2 linked regions of the Drosophila melanogaster genome follow. The protein of the gene in region 1 purifies or fractionates together with the protein of each later gene. This does not show direct contact. Each region holds a gene or a part of one and is shown on either strand. Other genes may lie near its edges.

Region 1 (3,600 bases):
CTGCTGGTGGATGGAGGGGCGTCGGCTGTGATTCCGGCGACGGGGCAGTCGTCCGTTCTTGGACATAGGTGACTGACCCTGAGCTGGCGGCTGCAATCCCAATCCCTGGCGAGGAGACAGCTGCTGGGGCTGCTGTTGCTGCTGGGTTTGAGACACCTGTTGCTGCTGTTGTTGCTGGGACTGGGATAGCACCTGCTGCTGTCGCTCCTGGATGCGTTGAAACTGCTGATCCTCATCCCTCTGAGGACCCGCCCTCAGCTCGGCCGGAGCCATACCATCGACGTACTTCACATCCGCCGGATTTGTGGCCGGTTGCTGTGCAATCGAGATGTTGACATGGGTGGCCGCATCCACCTGGCTGCAGGCCACCAGCAGGAGCACCAGCACTCCTCGGAACATCCTGTTCTAATCCTGTTACCAATCCGAAGTCAAAAATCCTAGCTGTGTGTCCAATCACTGCTGACCACCACCAAAGCTGACCGCTGTCTGATCGATAGTGGAGTGTGCTCCGCATATTTATACGGATTTTGGGTGGATTCGGAATCAAAATTGGGGGAGCGATCGCATTCGCAATCGCGATCGCGATCAGTGTCAAAGTCAACTGCAGCACTGGGAATAGCAATGCATACACACTATGGCGACAATAGCTTCGATAGCTTCGCTACTGACCTGGGCCAAACTGTTTAGGGATGAGTCTCAGATGCTTAACCTAGTTCTACAATTAAAGGCATTCGAGCGATCGCATTTGAGCGATGATGCATTCAACAAATTGCTGTCATCGCTTCACACTTGTGTGGCACGCACCAGCACTGAGAGAAAAGGGGCCTAAGTTCGTTCATATATCACAGATATATCATTTAATATGCGATTTTATTAAAATAATTTCTTGGGAAAATTTGGGAAAAGTTCTTTCGGGTAAAAGAAGCTAATCCAATAGAGATCTTTAATTTCGCTCCAGCTCATCAGTTTGGTTTTTCTCCGCCTGATCTCCACTGCGAATTTCGATGGCATCCGTAAATGGTGAGTGCAGCATTTTCATGTAATTGTCGGAAGGTCGGAGTCGCCGCTCCATTGGCAGCTGGTTTGAACTTGAAATCCGGCCGAGACGTTGAACTGCTCCACTGGAGGAGGAGCAGCTCGAGATCGGCGCCCCAATGGGCTGACGGATTCGCATTTGTTGGTTTTGGGGGTGCTGGTCAGGCAAACTTGCGCAATCGAAGTTTGGCGAGCATTTGGCGAACACTCGGAGCACTCGAATTCGGAAAGAAGGTAAAGGTTAATGTGAAGTACTTTTGCTTCTTTCTGCACTTAAAGTAACCACCAATAAGGTCAAATTGGTAAGGGGGAATATTTTAAAACAGATATTGCCTACTCACAGAAAAAGTAACTTTTCTTTCAAAAATATCTAAAGGATATTAAAGCAAACTTGTTTTGAATATCATTATAGAGAAAGGCAAATATGGGTTTTAAAATCTAAAACTCAGACTAATTGATCAAGGTCCTTTCAAAGATTAATTAGTTTTAAAACAATGCGAGCTTTCGTGGTCATTAAGTTGAACAAGTTTTCAAAAATTGTGCTCTACCGTTGAAAACATCATACCTTTCTTTTGTGAATTTCGTTTTTCCCTTAATATGACATCTCCAAATTTCACAGTCACCTAACAAATATATATGGCTTGGAAACAGAAAAATAAACTCCTTTTTGACACTTGTAAAAACCAGTTAAGCTGTGGCGCCGTAAACGCCAGATCCTCGATGATGCAGTCCATCCAGTCTAGGATCAACGTGCTTAACACCATTGCTGCTTCCAGCAAGCGGATTGAACGCGCCAGCGTTGACACGGTAAGTCCGAATTGATACAGTTCCAACTACCGATCAAAGTACGTGCCCGGCGTCGCCAAACACCCAGGTGATAGTGTGGTAACCACGAATGGCGTTTATTATGTTTGCGGGTGGGAATCAAAACCAGTAAGGAGTAGACAATATATATACCATGCGGTGCATGTGGCCGGCCACAAGACTATCTGTGGCCAGACGGTTACAAGCTAAAGCTACGCGAAAACACAGTCCAAAAGAGCAGCTAACGTCTAGGGCACATCTACAGCAGCTTTTCAATGTCCTTGGCGATGTCCATGGGATCGGTGGTCGGGGCATATCGGTTGATGGGCACGCCCTCCTTGTTCACCAGAAACTTGGTGAAGTTCCACTTGATTCCGCTGCCCAGGGTGCCGGTCTGCTTGGCCTTTAGGTATTTGTACAGCGGCGCCGCATTGTCTCCATTCACATCGACCTGCGGGGGTGGGGCAAGTTTAGTGACTCGGTCTACAGCAATCGGCTAGCAGCTTTAATAGTCTTACCTTGGCGAACACCTCGCCGATGTCAGCCTTGGAGTCGCGCAGGTGGCACACCATGGCCTCTCCATCGGCCTCCGGCATCTGGGACCCAAACTGATTGCACGGGAAGTTGAGGATCACCAGGCCGCGCTCGCCGTACTTCTCCTTTAGATCCGTCAGCTTCTCGTAGTTGTTCTTGGTCAGGCCGCACTTGGAGGCGATGTTCACCACCAGGACCACCTTGCCCTTGTACTTTTCCAGGGAAACATCGTTGCCATGGGTATCCTTCACGGTGAACTCGTAGATCGAGGCGGCGTTCTTGTAATCTCCGTTAGCAGACATGTCGATCTGGAAGCAATAGAAAGTGGGAGTTAGAATTGGGTAATTACTAGTGGCTGTGAAGGCTTGGGTCGATGTTTTGATCAAGAGATATAGATATTTATAGCCTTATCTTCAATCGGGGTATGAAACACTATATTCTGTATCAAAATCGACCCAGGCTACGCGGTTCATTGCAGTGAACAGGCAACAGAGAACAGAGAACAGAGAACACAGGCAGTGGCAAAGGCTACAACGTTTAGTTAGGCGCAGAATCAAGCAACTGAGTTAGTCAACGGGTTAGGATCTAGTCAACTAGCAATCAGCACTACTCACGGCAGCTGCTGTGGAGTGCTGGGCGGCTGAGGAGATGGCGTTCATGGGCGTGGCCGCACAGCTCACGGGAAGCATGATGGTGCAGAGGCGAAGGCACTGCCTCTGACCGCGACTCAGCTCGAGGACGGGGCCAGGGGTCCGCCTCATCGAGTAGCACCTGAGGGCCTGGCGGGAAATGTTCTGAAACTGCCTGAGACTCATTCTTTAAATGCTGCAAATAATAACCGGGCAGAATGTTCAAATTTAGTGAAAGCTTAGGCAAGTGAAGGAATTACTGGTGTGGATGTGTACGTTGTGTATCAGATCGAACAACAATCGTTTCAAAACAATTCAAATGGGAAAATATAAAAATCAAGTCCACATTTCTACTGATTAACGAAATAGTTAAGTAGATAAGAGCAAGTAGTAAGTAAAGTAGTAAGATAGCTCAAAGCTATCTTATTTCCGAATAAGAAAGTGTGGAAATGTATGTGGTGTATAGATTGTATTCGACAACCCGACGACAAACATCCAAGATTATTTCACGTTTTGATAATGGGTTTCCTAATAGTTGTATGTTGTTTCATAGACATTTACGAGGGTGCTATCAGGCTTCTGGTTACAGTGACGCTGC
Region 2 (4,131 bases), on another chromosome or scaffold:
ACGTGTCTATTCGAAAACAGAATCTTAAATCAATTCAAATCCATTAAAATTCCTTCCAGATGACATCCCAATGATAAGCTAAACCTTAAAATTTAATCAGCATCAGCTGTTATTTTGTTTGTATATTCCATTTCGTGTAAATTGCTTTAAAACAGCCCGCGAATGGCATACCCGGAGTCAAAATGGTTAAATTATTGGACAATACAAATCAATATTTTACAAGCAATTCAGCGTGTGGATAATGGTCTTATGATAGGCATTTTGCCAAACAACTACTCATGTATGAGTAGGGTTTCATCTAAGACTTGTAACAATATGAAAGGAATACTCCTTAGAGAATTATTGGTGAATGTAAAATCGTAAAAATTTGGTATGAAGTCTTCATAGCAGAGGCTCATTCTCTATCTTGACATCGCACTCAACCATGGAGCTGTCGACATAGTCAAACGAAGTTGGTGTTTTTCGGCTACTGATTTGGTAGCTGGAATTGGATAGATGGTACTGGGATTTCTCCAGCTGAGTGGCAAAACTGGAATTCGGGGCTGGTGTTAGTTTGGGCATGCTGCGCTCTAGAACGTCTTCGGGTCCCGCCGCCGCGAGCATGTGCTGATCCTCCTCCCTGAGTTCCACCAGAACGCGCGCCATCTCCATTCGAAACTTAAGATTGCTAATGGCTGACAGAGACTTTACGTGCGGCATCATGCTCATCAAGAAACTCAAGTCCGAATCGTTCTTTAGATCGGGTTCAGTGGTAGACTTTGACGCCTGGCTGGCGTATCCATTCAATAAGGGGACATCGTTAGACGGCGAAGTTTTCCTCCGACGTCCTCTCTTCGAAGGCGGGGGTGGACGTGGCAGGAATTGTTGGTGGCGCGGCAAGTGTATGGGCAATGTGGGCGATAGATCCTGATCGGAACGATGGGCGCCCGAGGATGAAGAATCCAAAGGCTTGATCAGCGAGCCTTTATCCGAGCCAGAGTCCTGGGGCACTGACGGCTCCCGCTTAAATATGTCCTCGATGATTTCAAAGTCAACAGAGTCATCATTGTCCAAATCCAAATCGATAGCGAAGTCAACCAGTCGGGTGGGCTCGAAGACTTCCGGCTGCTCGGTGTTCATCACGAAGGGCTCTGGTGGAAAGGGCACCAGGCCCTCCGGATCGAAGATTTGGCGCATGAACTCCAGTGAGCGAAAGTATGGCCAGTGGGACATCTCGATTCGTTTCTGCTGTATCTTGCGCACCTCTGCCCGGTAGCTGTCCCGCATTCCCTTGAAACGTTTCTTGCAGATCGAGACTGCAAAATGACCAGGTGTTATTTATAGGTTTCCTAGGCATATAAAACCCTCCTCGTTTATCCGCCACTCACCATCCTGCTGCATTATCTGCGCGACACTCGCCCACTGGAGAGCTGCGTCCTGGTTGCGGTACGAAATGGACATGTTTGTGTCCCACAGGCACCGCCGCTTGGACACCTCCTGTATGAGACGGTAGTTATCTGATTTCATGGCGCAGTGGACCAGAAATTGCGGTTTGTCCACAAATGCAATGCTCCGAAACTTGCGGATCCCGAATTTTCAACGCAATTTTCACAGCAATGACCGCGCTCACAGCAAACTCGACGAATGTGTGAGCGGTTTCGACCCGACGGTAACACTTTTAATATCCCAAATTCGGGCTTGCTTTGCTGCGTTTTGGTGGAATATACAAAATCTTGCTCTTGCTAAATCTCGCAGTTTCGCTTGCCACTACAAATAAATGATTAATTGCGCCTGGCAGCTCTGGTCGAACAGCTGCTTAACGGTATTACCAGGTGCATGCAAAACGGCCACACCAAAGGCACTATGACACTAGATGAACTTATTTAGTAGGATTTATTACAAACGTTTAAAGAGCACAATGTACAATAACTGCATTTGATTCCAAAAAAAAATGTTAGTTTAAAGATAAAGAATTAGATAAAGACCCTTTTGGTCGAAAAACAGTAAGAAAGAGACGAGTCAGTTCGTGGTGTCATACCAGCATACTTTCATTGGGGTTGCAACCCTGGCAGTAAAACAAATGATTCACAAACGAATTGATTTTGTTGCCGGCTGTGGGTTTAAAACTCGATAAAATCGTCAAGCAGCCATGTCGAATTCTGTGGAAGAGTGCAAGGATGAGGACCTGCCGGCAAACACGCTGGAGCACTTCACCGAACTGCAGCAGGTGCTGGAGATGATCGACAACATCAAATCCATTGCCGCTAACACCTTCGAAAGGGAGTTCGAGCAGTACGCCCAGGTTTTGTCTAGATATCAGGAGCAGCCACACCTCTTGGATCCACATTTGGAGGAGTTACTCGGCAAACTGCTCCACAAGATTCGGAAGCCAGATCTAGACACTGGAGAGCTTCATGCAGCCTTCAAGTATCTCTACATCATCTGCAAAGTGCGCACCTATAAGGTCCTGGTAAAGTTTATGCCACACGAACTGAGCGATCTGGAGTTTGTTCTGGATTTGCTGGGTCAGCAAAATCCCAAGGAGTTCGAACAGTGGGAAACGCGCTATATACTGCTCCTGTGGATGTCTATCCTGGTCCTAAATCCCTTTCACATGTCGAGACTAGATGCCTATGACACCTCCACATCTGCTCCCACCACCAATTGCAGTCCCGTGAACCATGTTCAGTCGAAGAACACCAAGATGGATCGCATCTTCGAGCTCATCCAGCTTTATGTGTCCTCCAACGACACATGCAGCAGCATGGCTGCTTTCCTGGCCGCCAAGTATTTCATTCGCAGTGACATCAAGGATCTATATCTGGAGCGCTTCCTGGACTGGATTATGGAGCAGCACCAAGCGGACACGTTGAACGTCAAGTTCGGCCAACTGGCTGCAGTGGCTGCTATTTTAAAGCACGGAAAGCGAGAAGATCTTCTGCCCTATGCGGACAAACTTCTTCAGTGGATCACTTCCTGTCAGTACAAGGATGACAACGACTTTCTCAAGTACAAGAACTATGTAAAAATCATCCAGAGAATTGGATTGGTTCATTTGAAGCCACGCATTGCCAGCTGGCGGTATAAAAGAGGTAAGCCTGGGGTTTGTTATTCACGCATGAAACCATAATAAACTAGTGTTTTCTTAGGCACTCGTTCACTGGCCACCAATCTAAACCAGACAACTGCGGCAGGAGGTGAACCAGTTGTTTTGGAGCAATCCCTGGAGGAAGGCGAGGAAATAGTGGTCCCCGATGCCATAGAAGAGGTGATTGAGGAGCTGCTCCAGGCACTGCGAAGCGGAGGAAACGATATACGCTGGAGCGCCGCCAAAGGATTAGGCAGAGTCACCAATCGCCTTCCCAAGGAGCTGGCCGATGAGGTTATAGGGTCTGTGATTGATATACTCAACCCGCTGGAACCCCACGAGGCCTGGCATGGTGCATGCCTGGCTTTGGCAGAACTGGCAAAAAGGGGATTGCTGCTGCCACATCGATTGGAGGAGCTAGTACCCCTCCTTATGCAGGCGCTCTTCTACGACGAGATGAAGGGCTACATGTCGGTGGGGCAACACATCCGAGATTCAGCCTGCTACATGTGCTGGGCATTTGCCAGGGCTTACAATCCGGATGATGTGAAGCCATTTGTGCACAAAATCTCATCTGGCCTGCTGACCGTTGCAGTGTTCGACCGCGAGGTGAACTGCAGGCGGGCTGCCTCGGCAGCTTTTCAGGAAAGTGTGGGACGCCTGGGCAACTTTCCCTTCGGAATCGAAATCTCCACCACGACGGACTTCTATTCCGTGGGCATCAGGCAGAATTCCTATCTAAACATCAGTGACTACATTGCACAGTTTGAGGTGTACAGGGAACCATTGATTAACCATCTAGTTCAGCATAAGGTAAGCCATTGGGATTCGGCTATAAGGGAGCTGACAGCCAAAGCCCTGCACAAACTATCCCTTTGGGAGCCCGAGTACATGGCCGCTGTGGTGCTGCCGCAACTGCTGGCAAAAACTGACACCATCGATATTAACTGCCGGCATGGTTGTGTCTTAGCCATGGGAGAAATAACACTGACCCTACGGAAACTAGAGGAAAAGAGTGATCCCCAAGTGGTTTACCTCTCCAACCAACGGGTTGCGGAGCTGAA

Evidence for each region.
Region 2: the proteins of Strip (region 1) and Tbcd purify together in Drosophila melanogaster (affinity purification with western blotting, with the first as the bait; one study listed by BioGRID). This does not show direct contact.

The regions. Positions count from the first base shown.
Region 1 is NT_037436.4:3,326,941-3,330,540, reverse strand, and holds the start of Strip (striatin interacting protein), read left to right. Parts: upstream 1-1,669; 5' UTR 1,670-1,671; coding exon 1,672-1,842; intron 1,843-1,914; exon of another isoform or gene 1,915-2,098; coding exon of another isoform or gene 2,099-2,290; intron 2,291-2,357; coding exon of another isoform or gene 2,358-2,681; intron 2,682-2,987; coding exon of another isoform or gene 2,988-3,188; exon of another isoform or gene 3,189-3,198; intron 3,199-3,600. Other genes in the region: CG14961 (uncharacterized protein), read right to left, coding at 1-399; Gtpx (glutathione peroxidase homolog with thioredoxin peroxidase activity), read right to left, coding at 2,099-2,290, 2,358-2,681, 2,988-3,188.
Region 2 is NT_033779.5:2,145,519-2,149,649, forward strand, and holds the start of Tbcd (Tubulin-binding cofactor D), read left to right. Parts: upstream 1-1,999; 5' UTR 2,000-2,128; coding exon 2,129-3,071; intron 3,072-3,128; coding exon 3,129-4,131. Other genes in the region: CG11723 (uncharacterized protein), read right to left, coding at 382-1,295, 1,368-1,506.